2 linked regions of the Lonchura striata genome follow. Each later gene encodes a partner of the first gene's protein in a complex. Links are inferred from orthologs where the notes say so. Each region holds a gene or a part of one and is shown on either strand. Other genes may lie near its edges. The genes, in order: KCNJ4 and TAX1BP3.

What was found.
Region 2: the proteins of KCNJ4 (region 1) and TAX1BP3 are in contact, whole or in part, in a crystal structure (PDB 3GJ9), measured with the Homo sapiens proteins. The link is inferred for Lonchura striata from reciprocal best matches to the Homo sapiens genes KCNJ4 and TAX1BP3. Residues at the interface, in NP_004972.1 of Homo sapiens: Arg440, Arg441, Glu442, Ser443, Ala444, Ile445; in NP_055419.1 of Homo sapiens: Leu27, Ile28, Leu29, Gly30, Phe31, Ser32, Ile33, Gly34, Gly35, Asp38, Gln39, Gln43, Asn44, Thr58, Arg59, His90, Asp91, Arg94, Leu97, Thr98.

The regions. Positions count from the first base shown.
Region 1 is NC_134607.1:23,762,264-23,770,375, forward strand, and holds the start of KCNJ4 (inward rectifier potassium channel 4), read right to left. Parts: upstream 3,188-8,112; 5' UTR 2,685-3,187; intron 1-2,684. UniProt on the Homo sapiens protein: Inward rectifier potassium channels are characterized by a greater tendency to allow potassium to flow into the cell rather than out of it.
Region 2 is NC_134622.1:8,398,610-8,406,605, forward strand, and holds the start of TAX1BP3 (tax1-binding protein 3), read left to right. Parts: upstream 1-4,763; 5' UTR 4,764-4,810; coding exon 4,811-4,849; intron 4,850-6,233; coding exon 6,234-6,353; intron 6,354-6,625; coding exon 6,626-6,703; intron 6,704-6,930; coding exon 6,931-7,068; 3' UTR 7,069-7,996. Other genes in the region: P2RX5 (P2X purinoceptor 5), read left to right, coding at 1-29, 516-581, 914-996, 1,319-1,394; EMC6 (ER membrane protein complex subunit 6), read right to left, coding at 3,899-4,231. UniProt on the Homo sapiens protein: May regulate a number of protein-protein interactions by competing for PDZ domain binding sites. Binds CTNNB1 and may thereby act as an inhibitor of the Wnt signaling pathway. Competes with LIN7A for KCNJ4 binding, and thereby promotes KCNJ4 internalization.

The sequences.
Region 1 (8,112 bases):
AAGTGTTTCAGGAGAAATGTTGCCATAGAAATAAAACAGCCGTCCAGATTGTGAGGGGCAGACCCACTGCCATGGTGGCAGGGGCGTGGGCAGAGCGGCAGCAGGAGCCCCTGGCTGGCGGCGTGGGGAGGTGCCGGGCTGGAGTACCTTGTTCTCCACCCTCCAGTCTCTGATTTCCAGTGAGAGCAGCAGTGGTGCTGCTGTGCCAGCATGGCTGGTGCCAGGAGATGGTGGGCATCTCCTTCCCAGATAGACCAGTGAGTGAATGACAAAACTGTCCCTGGAGCAAGCTGCCTGCTGCCAGGCTCCCAGGAGGACAGGCGTGGAGGTGCATGAGTCTCTGGGGCCACGGGGACAGGGTCACATTGCAGACAACTCCCATCCCTCAGCAGCCCGTGCCACGACACCACCTTCACTGCTGCAGAACAAGCCTCAGAGGTCTGAGGGCGAGAACCAGCTCAAAAGCAGCTCTTGCCTGTCCCAAGCCCCTCTCTGCCAGAGAATCAGTATCTCTCCCAAGAAGGGGCTCCAATCCCAGCCATCACCATTAAAACCACCTTGTCTGGCGAGCAAAACCGGTGCCGGTGGCTCTGGGGGTTCCCTGTGAGGTCTCTCCGCCCTGGTAAGGGGCACAGGAGCAGTGACGTCAAGGAGCAGGAATTTAGCCTGACTCAGTTTCGCAGCGTTGCGAGGCAAGCGCAGACGGCTCCAGTCGGCCCGTGCCATTCACAGGAAAGCGAGCGGCAGCGGGAGGCTGGGAGCCGCGTGGATGAGTAAGAGATCGATTGCTGAGACGCCAGCATCCATCTATCGATCCCTGGCCGCAGTGCCGGGTTAAGCCAGCCCAGTGCAATAACGAGGCGGGATAGCGGGGCTTGCTGGGGGCACGGGGCCATTAACTGCTCCGCTCGGCGTCCGCACTGATGGCAGCGTGCGGCGGGCACAGGTATCCATCACCGCGCCTCCTGTCACTGACACCACCCCAGGGATGCAGCTGCTTCCCGGGCGTGGCCGGTGGCTGAGCTTGGGGTGGCCGAGAAGCTGGAGGGGCCAGTGGGGATTGGTCCTGCCAAGAAACTCCATCCCTCCCCAGCCACCTCCTGGCTTTCCTTGAAAACCATGGCGGGGGACTGCAAGGGACAAGGACCACTGCCTGCCCCCTGCCAGCACCACACATCAGGGCACTTGATCTGAGCACTTTGATCCCCAAACGGGGAGAGATGGAAGAAAAAAATGGTGGAGGAGAGGGAACCCGCTTCCCTCCAGATCAGCCCTCTCCAGCTTATCCTTTGTGTCCATCCTCACCTTTTGTCCTCTTCCCCACCACTCCCTGTCCCCAGCAGATTCATGCTTCCCACTAAAGCACAATTTGCCCTGTATTGATTACTATTTTCAGTGTCTGCAAACAGGAGTGGCCACACACTGCCAGGGTGTCTCAGGCTTCTGTGGGTGCCACTTCTGGTGGTGGATGGAGAAGGGACACATTCCCATGTCTCTGTCAAGATGTATTCCCCATGCACCTTCCTGATCCCGCCCAGGCCCCGGATAACCCCAAGCCCTGGGCTCATCTCCACACCTCCCATCTCCTGTGGATGACTCCCCCCAAGCAGCCAAGGAGGGCACAGAGCAGGGATTGAAGGTAGCCTTGGAGCTGTGTCACCTCTGCCATGAGTTTCTGTCACTCTCTGCCCTTCACAGCACACCCCCAAGGGGAGCAAGGGGAGAAGGGAGAGGCCCCAGAGATGCTGTTTGCTTTGCCATCAATGGAGTCAGGGCTGGGCTGCAGGGATAGGAAGCGCCAGGCTCTTGCCAAAAGGATTTGGATGACTCCAGGCTATTTGCCCAGGAGGGAGGGCCTTGGGGGCTGATGGGCCAGGGATGTCCGGGGTGATCTGCCAGCACCATGCAAACCTGCCTGCCCACTCCTGTCCTGGTGGGGAAGCCGACCTTCTGAACAGGGAGCAAAGGCAGAGTTTTCCTGGTAGTTTGCTCCTGGCTTCCTCCTGAGCTCCTTCACCCAAAGCCACTATCCAGAAGACCCTTTGCACCATGCCTGTCTGGGGGGTGTTGGACCACCACTGGCATGATCAGCCTTGCTGGGACTAGGAGAGGTGGACGGCAATGGAGAGGGGGACAGATCTGAAGCCCAAAAAGCTCCACAAGCAGCAGGAAAACAAACACATCCACTTCAGCCCCATTTGCACCCGAGAGCCTGAAGAGCAGGCCTCCAGCTGCCTCCTTCTGTGTGAACTGGCTGGGACCAGCACAGAGAAGAGTCTACAGAGCAGGAGAAGTAAAAGGTGAGCAAGATCCAGCCCAGGGCGAGAAGACACTAAGAAAACACGGGGAACTGAAAAAATGAAGAAGTTACCTACAAAGGGACCGAAGTTAGGGTGGCGAGAGGGCGGGGAGGGAAGTTGGGGAGGTTTAGAGGCAGGAGCCCACCCCTGCCCCTCGGCCCGTGGCCGCCCCGGTAGCTGTGCGTGCATACGCCATGCACACAAGGCAACTTTATTATTCACTGGCACGCTCACACGAAGCCACGCATCTCTCCCCAAGTTATATTTATAGCTGTTCCTCAGAGCGAACGCTAATGAAACAATACATTATTTTCCGAAGGGAGAAAAACCCTTCGCGCTCTCATGCCGGTGCGGAGAGCAGCGCGCCCCGGCACCGCCTCTTACCCGGGTCCTGCCGAGGGCTGCCGCCTGCTCCAGCCGTGCCGAGCCAACATCAGAGGAAGGGAAAAGCGCCCGGTCTTTCCATCTCACCACGAAATGTCTCAGCCGGACCGGAGGAATCAGGGGAGTCTCTCTGCAGTCCTCGCTCGCCTCCAGCCTAGGTTTATTTTTTTCCCCTCCGAAGAGCTACTTCTCCGCTGCGACCTGCTCCTCTCCTAACTCTGCCCTGCCCACGCCAGCGCTCTCCTTCTGCCTCTGCCTCTCAGAATTTTTTGCTCCCAGGAGCGTCCATCCCACGGAGTGCTGATGTGCCTTCGTGGCTCAGCGACGGGTTTAGGTCTCCCCCTCCTGCCTGGCTCCCTCCTTCTCTGGCATGATTTGCCCGTGCCCCTTGCTGCCCCCCTGCTCTAGTCCCCAGATCCCCCCTCTCCCTGACACTCTTCCTCCCTTTGCGCTCCGCTCCCTTTCCCTGGCTGCCTCTCCCCCTCGCTGATTGCTATGCAGTCTGTAGCTGAGAAGTCAGTAACTCTGTGGTAGGATCCAACAGCTTTCCGCTACTTTAGCCCATCCTCGCGTGTGAGCTCAGAGCTGCGGAGCCGCCATGGGGGAGACAGAGCGACCATCCCCAGCGGGAAGGGGATGGTGGGGCCGCCAGAGAGGTGAATCCTCCTCCTGGGCGGCTGCACAGAGATTAAATAACTACCGTCAGAGGGCTTTTTCCCACCTGGATTTGGGGTGCTGGGCTGACACCTAGCCCCGAGGAAGGACCAGGCTCTCCCAGCTGATGCTGTTTGCTGTGGGGCATTGCTTCCCCACGCTACAGAGCTGGTGATTTCCTGCCGGGAAGAGTAATGCTGGGACAGGAGCTGGACACGGAGGGACTAGACCTCAGGGCTCCAGGATAGTGCACAGCCATCCTGCTGGGAAACCTGTCCAAGAAACCTCTCTTGGGTCTCCACGGCCAGCAGCATCTCAGAGGCTTTAAAAAGGTCACTTCTTGGTGACAAGGAGAGATTTTGCAGCAAAAACAGAGGCTGAAGAGACTCCTGACTACACAGGCAGTGGCTGTAGGCACAGGATCCTGGGGACAGCCCTGTTCCAGAACAGCATTTTTGAGGACATGGTTTCTGTCTTGGTGCCTCATATGCTGTCCGCAGTGTTAAGGCCTGTGCTGAAAAGTCAAAAAATATTTAAAAACCCATTTTTTGAGTCTCCTCTGGGTCCCAATCCTGCAAGGACTATGACCCTCCCTCCCAAAACCCTCCCAAGGTGTGGCATATAGGATGACCCCTGCACAACATGCTGTGGAGCCTGCTGTGCCCTGCCAGCACCAGTGAACACTGCGGTGGTGAGCACAGCCTGTTCCCACCTGGCAAAGCCACTGCCGGGGCAGCAGAGGGTGCTGGGGTGGGTTTAGTAGCTCCATGCAGATGAGCAGCTGCAAACCAGGAGCACATCAGCCTGCTGAATGGGTCAGTTCACCCCAGTGCACCCATGGCTGCTCCCTACTGCTCCTGGGGAGCTGCTGCACCTGGATGCAGCAGAGCCAGCCCATCCACTCCCTCTGCAGCCATCCCTATGAGGACCTCATTCAGGTTCAGAGGGTACGTATTTTCCCAAAAGCTTTGTCTCTAGGACCTGTTTTGGGGCTGCTTCCCTAGAGCTACTGACCAGTATCTGCCCAGCTGCTCTTTGGCAGAGTGCACCATCCCTCTGGCACCACAGCAGGCCTTTCCTCTTCATGTGGTAAAGGGATGAAGATGGGCCTGAGACATCTTGCTCCTTCCCAGAGCGGGCAAAGCCAAGTGCAGCCCTGTGACCGCCTCAGCCTCAAGTGGGGTGTCTCCCTCTCTGCCTTTTGCTCCTTACTGCTGGCTCCCTCTGAGGCCTCACCACATTTCCCTCTGCCTTTGCAGCAGGAGGGTAGATAGCTGCACCTTGTGCATGGTGTGGCAGCCTGACACTGCCAAGAGACAAGTGGCCCTTCCAGAGGCAGCGAGAGGGGCATGGGGACGCCACATTGGAGATGTCACCGGCCCCTTGCTGTCCTTGTGCCCCCCAAGTGCCATGCCCTGACCGCCCCATGGCCGCCGGCCCCAGCAGCGGGGTGGCTCACACTCGCCGCCCCCGCCCGTCTCCACCAGCACCGTCTTTAATAAGAAGTGTGGAATATTTTAGCACCTATGTAAAAACCACCACAGACGGTGGTGGCAGCCGTTGCCAGGGAGACGCTCCCAAAAATAGCCCCACTCCGCCAACCTTTCCCAGTGCCACTGTGGGGATTGAGGGAGGCAGAGGGATGGAGGGATGGAGGGATGGAAGGGTGGAACGAGGGACGGATAAAGGGATGGAGGGATGGAGGGAAAGAGTGCCATACAGATGGACAGAGGAATCTTTGGAGGGATGAATGGAGAGAGGAGGAGTGAGGGGTGGTTGAAAAGATGGAGGGAAGAATGGATAGAGAGAGAAAGGGATGAGAGGGATGGCTGGAGATGGATGGAGAGATGGGTACAGTGGAAAGCAAGAGCTCCTGGGAAGGTGAGAAAACACTGCCTGCCTCTTCTCCTGCCTGGGCATCAAGAGACGAGCAACCTGTATGACAGCAGCCCCTACTTGGACACCCGTGGTCCTGCACTCCTGTAATACCAGCTAAGCCAGCACAAACCGTCAAGCCTTCTCTGTGTTGAGCAGGTCTGACTTTGGGTGTTTAAACCAGAGAGCAAAATTCTGGGCTCCTTAGCACCTGCCGTGTTCCGTCTGCAATCTTCCACCGACCATCCTATCTCTGTCTGTCTGTCCCCAGCATTCCAGAACTGCCCAGCCAACCTGATCTGGTCATGGGGGCAGAGATGGTGAGACACAGAGGTGACCCATGGTGCTCAACCCCACCGTGTTCCCCAGCCCCTCTGGGAATGCAGAATCATTGCCCTCTCTTAGACAAATCCTTGAGACTGCCCACTCTCCCAGAAGGTCTGGATGTAGCCTGATCTACATCCTGCAGCAGAATTGGAGGGAGACACCTGGAGAACCACCAGGGGCAAAAGCAGAGAAGCCTTTTTGATAGAAGGAAACATTTGTTTTAGTGATTAGGAAATGCCCTTTTGTCCCTCTTCTCATCCCACAGCCATCACCTCATAGGCAGAGGTGGAGAAGGGCCCTGAATTAAGCTGCTGCTCTCTGGCCCAGTGGCTCTGCAGGAGGAGCCTTCCAGACCAGCAGAGGCAGAGGGAAACCCCAAAAATAGAACTAAAGGAGGAGGGATTGGGGGGGGGGGGGAGAGAGAGAGAGAAAAATAAACCAAACAACCCCAAAATCTCATTTTTAATATCAAATCCCAGCTCACTTTCCTCCTTGTCACCCTGGCGACATTCCTTGTGGTCACCATGGAAACGGGAGGCATGGAGAGAGCATCACCATGCGGGGTGGTGGCAGCACCCGGCATTATTTTGGGAGGCAGGGAGACACCCGGCGCAAGGAACTTGGCATTGTGGCAGGGCAGGAGGAGGGAAGGTTTATTTTTACTTGGTCCCACTCCATGTGCCAGTTTTGTCTCTAAGAGCCTGGGTGTCCCTTGCACTGCAGCAGCTTTCCTATGGCCCCCATGTACCACACAGGGATGGTGTTCCATGGGGACACCCCAGCCTTACCACCCTGTTCCAGCTGGGTGGGCTTGATTGGGCTGCTCCCATGAAGTCCCTCTAATGGTCACCTCAGCTGGTGGTTCCAGGTGCCAGAGTGGGAGATAATGCTGGGAGTTGGGCCCATCAGCTCTTCTTGGGAAGGTGCAAGATGAGGAGAATAAACCTTTGCCTTTCTCTGGAGGGGACTTCTTTCCTTGGGTGGGACAAGAAGCTGCAAAGAGGAGTGCAGGGACAAGAGAAAGACAAAGGCTCTCAGACATTGCACACCAGGGGGTTGGAAGGGGATTTCTTGGAAGAAAGGACTCCAAATCTGTTCCTTCCCCCCAACTTTACATCCCTGCTCCATGGATCAAAACTCTGCCTACCTGCAAAAGGACCTGGGGTACCAGGGACCTGCAGGGCCACCAGGGCTGGGGCTTGGCTTTTACCAGCACCCACATGGCCTTGTGAAGCCCTGCTGAAATCCCAGGCAGCTCCACTCTGATGTCTGGAAACCCAATTCAGGCAGTCCTTGCCCTTTGCCAATCGTCTCTTTTGCTCTAACCCACCCTTGACCCACCGCAGCAACCCCTGCCTCAGTGCCCTGGCTGGGAACAGGCAGGGACGTCTCCAGTTCCGTGGGGCTGAGCAGGTGTTTTCCAACCCGGCCTGTGAATCCATCTGGAAAAGCCCTGTGATGCAGGTGCTGGAGCGTCAGAGAGGGAAAACACAACCGCCAACCTAATGGGCAGGGAGGAAATGTATGCAAATATATTCAGAAAGGGAGCCGGTGATGCTAATAGGCTTGTTAATCCTCTCGGAAAGCACCAGGAATAATATTTTTACACTTTGGTCGTTAAGCATTTTACTCCAAGCAAGCCCATAAGGAGAGAGAGACATGCGTAGAGGATGGCCAAAAGTCATGGCTGGGGACAGGGAGGGCAGCAGCCAGAGCCAACTTTGGGACAGGAGCAGGCAGGATCACACAATCCAAGGGTAACCAAATTAGACCCGTGGCCAGATGCGATTTGCTCAGGGCAAGGCGACAAATTACAACTTCCATTTGGTTGTACTAAAGCAGCTTTGAATTAGTGATTAGCTATTGACTACCTAATTGCTGGATCTTGATGCAGAGGTCTCTCTGCTGCTGCCATGAGATCTCCCTGTGTAACTGCTGCTCCGAGGACAAGGTTCATCCAAAACAAGCTGGTCACCCGGCTTAATATATTTTCAAATATATTAAAACTTTCTAACATTCACTACTGAGCTCTTTTCTGTGAAATCTATAAAACCAGCAGCAACCACATGCTTCTTTCACTCAACAAATTCCCTACATTTTTTGTAACCCTCTGGAATCCAGGATTTCCTTCTAAGAATCCAGGATTAATATTTTCAGTGAAGTTTGTTTCAAACCAGCCCTTGGGAGAATATTTTCTTTCTCCATGGCTGTGCTCAGGGATCCACTCTGCTCCAGATAGGGCATCTGAAGGAAGGGGTGTCTGGTAGGGCAGACACCAGGGAATGGCTGTCGCTGTGGAAGAGCTGCAATGGGTTGATAATTCAAATATCTCTCCACTTCTTCTTTGGCTGCAGGAGCCAAGGTGGAGCACTGGTGAGAAGGTGCTGCAGGTGGGATGGGGCCGGTAAGGGCAGAGAGCAGAAGGCTGGAAGCAGCACAGAGGTTACTGCACCCGTGGCGAATATTCCTGGAAAGTCTGGCCCTCGCCGGAGGGTGTGTCCTCAAGGCCAGAGGATGGGAATCCTCTTCCCTCTGCCTTTTCCCCTTTAACCACACTTCCGTGTGTAACTTG
Region 2 (7,996 bases), on another chromosome or scaffold:
TCCGCTTCGATGTGATGGTGAATGGCAAGGTGAGAGCCAGGTCAGGATGTCCCAGAGCCTGCAGAGAAAGGAAGTGGGGGGAGGCAGCTCTGCGAGGAGGACAGCCTCTCTGGCTTGTTGTAGAAAGGGCTTTTCCCATCCATCCATGTGGAGCTAATCCCCATGTGAGAGAGATCACCTGTAGTGCAGCTAAGCCTGCACCTCCTCTACTTAAAACCAGGCTCATGTAAAGCCTTAACAGAAATAAATGTGCCCCAGAGGCTTGTTTTCCATGTGCAAGCACTGCAGAGAGAAAAAGCCTAATCCAGGGATGATGCAAGCTCAGAAATGCAGTTAGGGACAGTCAGATCTAAGACACAGAGACCTTCAGCCTCCACTGCAAATCCCCTGTGGTTGTGCCTGGGAACAAAACGCACCCAGGGGCAGCAGCAGCTTCCCCAGTGCAGTACCACACCCTTGAGTTTGTTTTGTGGGTTGTTCTCTCAGTGGTGACTTCATGACCTTTGTTCTTCCAGGCAGGGAAATTTAACATCATTCCCACCATTATCAATATCAGCTCGGGGCTGGCACTCATGGGAGCTGTAAGTGAATGTTTTATCTCAAAGTAACCCCAAGGGACCCACACCCCAAATAGGATGGGGGGTTTAAACCTTCTCCAGCAGAATCTTTACTACTCAGCCAGGTGTGTGTCTATGTCCTCCTTCCTTCAGTGCCTGGTTCTTTCTTAATAAACCTAGTAGTCTAAACACCCCCACAATCTGTATATTACATATACATACTCTGGAAAATGCATGGACAATGAAGGCAAACACAGTTTCTACAAGTTATCCTTTCATTCATGCTCATTTCTAATGAGTTCAGAATACTTCCTCTTCCTTTCAAAGATAAACCACAAGTTTTTTTCCCTTTGCAGGGAGCTTTCTTTTGTGACCTGGTGCTGCTATATTTGATCAAGAAGAGTAACTTTTATCGAGGCAAAAAGTATGAGGAAGTCAAGTAAGTGGGCCTGGTTTTGTGTTAAAAATCATGGCTTTTTGTTAAGACTGATAGAAATAGGAGGACATACAGGAGCACAGTTCCAGGGAAATATATTCTTCCAAATTATTTTGGCCAAGTTATTGGCTTCCTCTGTAATTCCTTGCTGCAATGAGCTGGGAGGAAAGGCAGCTGCTGTGTCAGGGTTGGACTGGCAATGGCCTCGTGAAACTGAGATGTGGAGGGGCTTTTGGGGTAAGGTGAGACAGGCCTGGCTGGGAACATTTTTGCCTCCTGAAACAAACCCAGGCTGCTCATCCTGTCCTTGTGCCTGTTTGCCCAGGTCCAGCTCCAGGAAGTCCTTGTCGAGCCCTACGCTGAACGGGAATCAGAGCCCAGAGCAGCTCGGCGAGCTCTAGGCACAGCAGTGGCTCTGCCAGCTGGACTCCTGCTCCAGGAAATCCACACTGGTGTGGCACCACACCAGCACTGGGAGGTGGATGTACCCCAGGTCAGGCCTACTATGATCAGGATTCCCAGAGGACAAAACCTTCTTTAAAGACTGTCTTTCTTCCCAGAGATTTCTCTGGTAGCCTGAGCTTGCAACGTGTTGTCACTATGGATTTATAAAAGGATTTTTATAAAAGGACAAAGAAGGCACAAAAATGAATGTTTTTATATCCACTGATAGATATATCTGTACTTATGCCAGTAGCCAGCATTGTCCTGTGGCTGTGCTTTGCTTCCACGTGGAGAAAAGCTGTGATGGGAGCACTTTGGGAAGGGCTGAAGCTGAAACCCAACCTGTTTCCTGCTCTGCTGCCCTGGCAGCCACTGCCTCCAGCTCCTGCCTGGGTGATGTGACATCCGTTGTGAAGCAGCAGGACTGCTCTGCTCAGGAAGTGCAGGGAAATGTGGCATTGGAGCAGCTCTTGGGGCTGGGAAGGGGCTGTGATCCTGCAGGGCCTGAGGCAGGGGGGCCCTGGAAGCACCTGCACAGCTTCTGCCTCCTTCCTTCAGTGCCTGGTTTCATTTGCTCGGGACTGTCCTTGCTGTGTCACTGCCTGATTCTGTGGTGGCAGAGCTGGATGGACACTCAGTGCCTCTGTTTCTCACAGCACCCTGGGCTGTGCTGCACACTGAGAAGGGCAGCTGTGCCAGGGACATGGGCTGGGCCAACCTCCTCCAAATACACCAACAGCAGGGAAGTTAGAACATATCTGCCTGCTACTTCAACACCAGTGACCTCCAGGAAATACAAGTGCTTGTCTCTCAGCAGCATCAGTCTCCTTGCAGCCTATTTTGTCCATTTATCTCATGTGGGGAGGTGAATAATCTCAGAAAAGGGCTTAAGGAATATGATTGTGTTCTGTACATGCTGCCCCATCACCACTGTGAGCTGTCCTGATAAAGATTAAATGTTTTTGTGCATGCTTTGAATACCAAAAGTTACAGGGCTCCTTCTGCAGTGTCTGAGGGTGGCATCAGGGAGCTGCTGCCATCGAGCGTCTGCACAAATGGCACCAGCAGCTGCACCCAGCTCTGCTGTAACTTATTTAAAGTCGTTACTCTGAGGTACAGGTTCATCCTAAATTAAAGTTCACCTGTTAGCAGTGGCAAACTCTGAACCCAGCCACTGACAGCAAACCCCACCCAGTCTAGGTCCCCACCTCTGCTTCTGTGTAGCGAGCAAAAAATGGGGCTAGAAAATAGAATTAAACAGTGGAGTTCATTTAGGTTAAGCTGTATACCTTTGGTGCTCTGATCTCATCCAAAACCTTCTCTCCATGTCAGAAGTCTCTCTTCAAGGCAAACACAAGTCACCATGTGGGGAACTGCACAAGAGTTACCACCAGGCTTTTGACTGTTAGGGTTAATTAAAACTCTGTGTTTCACCATCTAGAAGTTGTGTAATTTCTAGATGGTGAAACACATGAAGAACCCCCCCATGTGACATCAGGGCCTGGCACAACTCCTGGCACCCAAGCAGCTCCTCCTGATGTGCAGAGCTGACTGTGCTCTGCTGAAACCATTGTTTTAACTTGCCAAAACATCCTCCTGTGAGATGACCAAAGCTATTTCCTGAATCTAAGTCTCCAGGCCCCCCAGATCCCCTAGAGTGTTTCCTTTCTTTAGACTCTGTAACACAACTCCTACAAGCCCTGCTGTTAATAAAACATAACCAGAGTCCTTCTCAGGACTTGTTTCTTGACTTTGACTTTTTTTTTCTCCTTGTGTTTCTTGTTCAGCAATAAAATGTGTCACTTCAGGCCAGTGCTCCCTGGGAGTGTTCTGTAAGTGTTTTTTCAGGTCACACCACCTTCTCCTGGTGATAGTGATGTGAGCACATTGATGAATCACTTATTTTCACAGAACAGGGCTATAGGAAAGGCATTACCTGGATGGTGCGTGATGGAATTATCCCCTATTGTGGCTGTTCTAGAGACCAGTGACAGTGCCATTTACTGATGGCAGTCAGGGAAGAGAGCATTTGCATGTATGTTTCTGTGCCAAACCTTTACATCCACTTAGTTATTTCCTTTTGTCAGCAAAATTATTTTTAAGTAATTTAATTATTTCAGGTTGCCGTGTTACTGCTGTAATGTTTGTGTGTAGGGACAGGCAGCACATCCAGAGGGGATTGTAACTGGTGTGTGTATCCAGGGAATATATCAATCAAACCCCACAGCTGTGCCTGCTCTTAGGGACAGAAATTACCCCCTAACAAGGAAACAAGGAGGCATCCAAGCGGTGCTTCACATTCAGTTTTAATAGAACAGTGCTACTGATTAATTTGTACTTGGACATAATTTACCAACAGCATTAACGACACGAGCCACGGACAACAGTGTGGAAAGTGAGCCGGCCTATGGTGTAGTGACTTTTGGCAACAGTCCCGCCGCTCCGTCCGCCGCGGAGCTGCTCAGTACACGTGAACCATTCCGTACAGGAAAGTCCAGAACAGGACGTAGGTGAAGAGCCCTCCCACCAGCCCCCCCGTGAACAGCGGCCTCCGCGACTTGAAGTACTTGTTCCACCGCCGCCCGGCTTTCAGCACCAGCAGCACGGAGAGGAGGACGGAGGCCAGGAAGTAGAAGATGAAGCCGTGCAGGCCGGTGAGGCCGAGGATGCCGGCCGTGGCGCCCGACAGGGCGGACACCGAGGTGCGGCAATAGTCCAGGATGGCCGCGTTGCCCCGCACCGCCGCCTCGCTGATGAACTGCGGCCCCTCGCGCTTGGCCACCACGGCGGCCATGGCTCCGCGCCGGGCTCGGGCAGCTCCTCGCTCGCACCGACACTGAGGTGAAGCAAACGCGCTGTACGAGCCCGCCCGCCCTCAGGCCGCCGGGAGAGCCCCGCGGGCCCTCCCGCCGCCCCTCCCCTTCCTCCGTACCTCTCATCCACGGCGGCGCCCAGCCCCGCCGCTCCGTCAGGCCTCGCACCGCGCCGAGGGACCCCGCTCAGCGCCCGTCACCGCGGGCCGCCCGCCGGGCCCGGCCCGCCCCGACCGCGCCGCCGCCACCGCCCGGCCGCCATCTTGCCTTGGGGGCCGACGGGACGCGGCCGCGCGGGCGGCGCGCCGTGGGCGGGGCGGCTGCGGATTGGCTGGCGGGGAGCGAAGGGCGGGGTCGGATTGGCTGGCGGGGAGCGAAGGGCGGGGTCGGATTGGCTGGCGGGGAGCGAAGGGCGGGGTCGGATTGGCTGGCGGGGAGCGAAGGGCGGGGTCGGATTGGCTGGCGGGGAGCGAAGGGCGGGGTCGGATTGGCTGGCGGGGAGCGGGAGGCGGGGCCGGGCGAGGCGCTTTTGTTCGGGCGGCGGCGGTGGCGGGGCGGACATGGCGTTCGTACCGGGGCAGCCGGTCACCGCCGTGGTGGTGAGTGGGCACGGGAGGGGCGGGCACGGCGTTCCTACCGGCCCAGCCGGTCACCATTATCCCGGGGATACCGTGCCGAGGTGGCGGCTGCTGGCGGGGATGGAGAGGTGGATGCGGGTGGTGCCCGGCAGCGCCCTGCGCGCTGTCACGGGCGGAGGTGCCGCCCCGGGGCAGCTCCGGTTCGCGGGTGCGGGGAAGGAGCGGGCGAAGGCTGCGGGGTTAGGCACGGCACACGGGTGACGGTGCCGGTGCCCGGCAGTCGGAGGGTGGAGGTCCCCGGGCAGCCCCGCTCCGCGGCCGCTCTGTCCGCAGCGCCGCCGGCCCCGGTTGCCGCCCCGCAGCCGCTCCCCGCTGCGTGGGCTGTCAGATTCTCCGTCCGGGATAGCGGCTGGGAGAACAGAGCGGAAACTCCGCCGGGCGGAGGGACCGACCCCCGGCCGGGGATGCTCGGGCGTTGCTTTAGAGAAGAGGGAGCGAGAGACACGCGTTCTCCCGGTACCGGGACCCCGCGGCAGCCGAGCCCAATCTCGGTGCGGATCCCCCTCTGCGAGGGCAGAGCAGGATAAGCACCTGCGTGTCTGGGTGGGGTTAGGAAGCAGAGCTTTTAAAGGGAGATAATGGCTTTAATCAGCACGAAGTGCGAGTGAGGGATTTGTGCTTTCCTCTGCCTGCAGCGGTAACTGGGGTTGTGCTTGCGTGGATGGCTCCGATGTTTGGAATCCAGGGAGTTTGGAATTCAGTGGGGAAGTTCAGGGTCTGTGTGACAGGGCCATGAGAGGAGAATCACAGAGTGGTTTGGGTTGGAAGGCACCCATGAAGGTAATCTCATCCAATCCCCTGCAATGAGCAGGAACATCTTCCATTAGATAGGGTCGTAGCACTTTTCGAGAGGTTGCTGTGTCAGTTAAGACCGTGGCTTTTCACCCTGGCTCAGGAATTAATTGCACCAGCTGGCATTTCTACAATGCTGACATAATGCACAAAGCTGGTCAGATGCCTCTGTGCATCAGGCAGTGAGGAACCTGCCCCGGGTTACAAAAGTTATCCTGAAAAAGAGCCATCCTAATAATAGGTTGTTATTTCTGCTGATAGGACTAGCAGGAACATAAGGCATGTGGATAATGAGCAAGATGAGGCTGGTCATGAGTAACTGCTGGTTATCAAGGCATGAGTCATGTTTAAAGAGACCTGCTCTGGTTTTAGTGTTGTTCCCTTCTATTCCTGGGCAGGCAGGACAGCTCTGAGTAATTGAGGGGCTGGGCTGTGTCGTGGGATCTCTGTGAAAAACAGTCTAACTGGATCTGAATTATCAGCGTCTGAAATGCACTTGAGATTTCTTCCACTTGTCACAATGCTCAGCTATTTGATCTCTTTCTCTTTCCAGCAAAGAATTGAAATACATAAGCTTCGTCAAGGTGACAATTTAATTCTGGGATTCAGCATTGGGGGTGGCATTGATCAGGACCCTACTCAGAATCCTTTCTCTGAAGATAAGACTGACAAGGTCAGATAATCTTTTTCTGTAGCAAGTCCCTCTCCCAAAGGCTGACCCAAGTCATCATCTGCCCTCTACCACAGCTACTCTCTTGCCCCATTATCACTTGTAGATCCAGTTATTCAAGTGACTTCTACACCTTTTCTATTTTCCAACATTGCATGAGCCTGTTTTTAACTAAAATCTCATAATACACTAGAGTTTTTCTGTGTTGTCAATCAAATGGCCCTTGAATACTGAATCCTTCCACATTTAGTAAATGAGCACTAATTTTTTCCCAGGGTATCTACGTAACAAGGGTGACACAGGGAGGCCCGGCAGAAGTTGCAGGACTCCAGATTGGAGATAAGATCATGCAGGTAAGCACCAAGATAAGACAGTAGTGATGTAGTACCAGCTGCACCCTGCAGAGAAGCATCTGCTGGGGAAAATAATCTTCTGGGTACTTACCAGGACAGTTTGTAGGGTTTATAAATAAACTGAGCTGTGGCATAAAACCATATCCACTACATGGTTCTGATAGAACAGTTACAGGACACCTGTGAGTCCTTGCATTTGCCTTATTTTATGTTTTTTTTTTTCCCAGGTGAATGGCTGGGATATGACAATGGTGACCCATGACCAGGCCAGGAAGAGGCTGACCAAAAGGAATGAGGAGGTGGTACGGCTGCTGGTGACCAGGCAGTCCCTGCAGAAGGCTGTGCAGCAATCCATGATGTCCTAATCCATCATCCAGCTGGGGAGGGGGTGGGAAGGGAGATGTATAGACTGCTATCAAAGAAAGAAGCAACTATTAGACTGGAACAGGTTGTCTGGAAGGAGTGCATGTTCCTACCTGTGGTAAACACTACTTTTTTATTTTAACTTCTTCTGGTGTAACTGGCAGTAGTAAAACAATACTCCCCTCAGCAGAGTGCTTCTCTAAAGTCTGCCCTGCAGGTACATGGCAAGACTTCTGTAGTCATGACTTTCAGGACAGGACAGACCCAAGTTATCTAAGAGCAACTGGAAAAGCCTTAACTTGGACAGGATTCTTCTGTAGCACAAAAGCCTCCTATTTTAGGAGGAAATGTGGTTTCTGCTATGGGAGACCAGAGGGTTTGCTGTGCCTAAGCTTTTAGAAGGGAGCTGTCCTGTCCCCCACATTGCTACCAAATTCATATGCCAGAGTTAAGAGCTGCACAGTGCTGTGGGGAGGAGCACTGTACTAATCCTTCACTGTGTGCAAGATAGAGAGTGGCTGAAAGGTTTGGGGCATTACAGTTTCCTGCAAAGATTCCCTGGACAAAGCAGCCTCTTGAGGCAAGAAACAGCTGAGTAACAAACAAGTGTTAGATCAATGCCTGTGAAGTACACTACAATTTAATGGACACTACAGTTCAACCTCACTGGCAGGGTAAAACCTGAATTCTCCTTACTCCCAGTTTGTACCATCAGCTGAATTGAGTTTAATTGAGCAGGAAACAAAGCAATGTTCCTGAACCTACCAGAAATGCTGCTCATAGCTGTAGAGTTTTCAGGCCTTCATTCCACTTCTATCTGACTTGAAATGGGAGGGATTTTGGTTTGTGTTTTAGAAGTTTCTGCTTAAATCAGTGATTTATTGGATGGAAGAGATGACTATGCCAGTAATTTGCAGAAGTGCCTCTTGA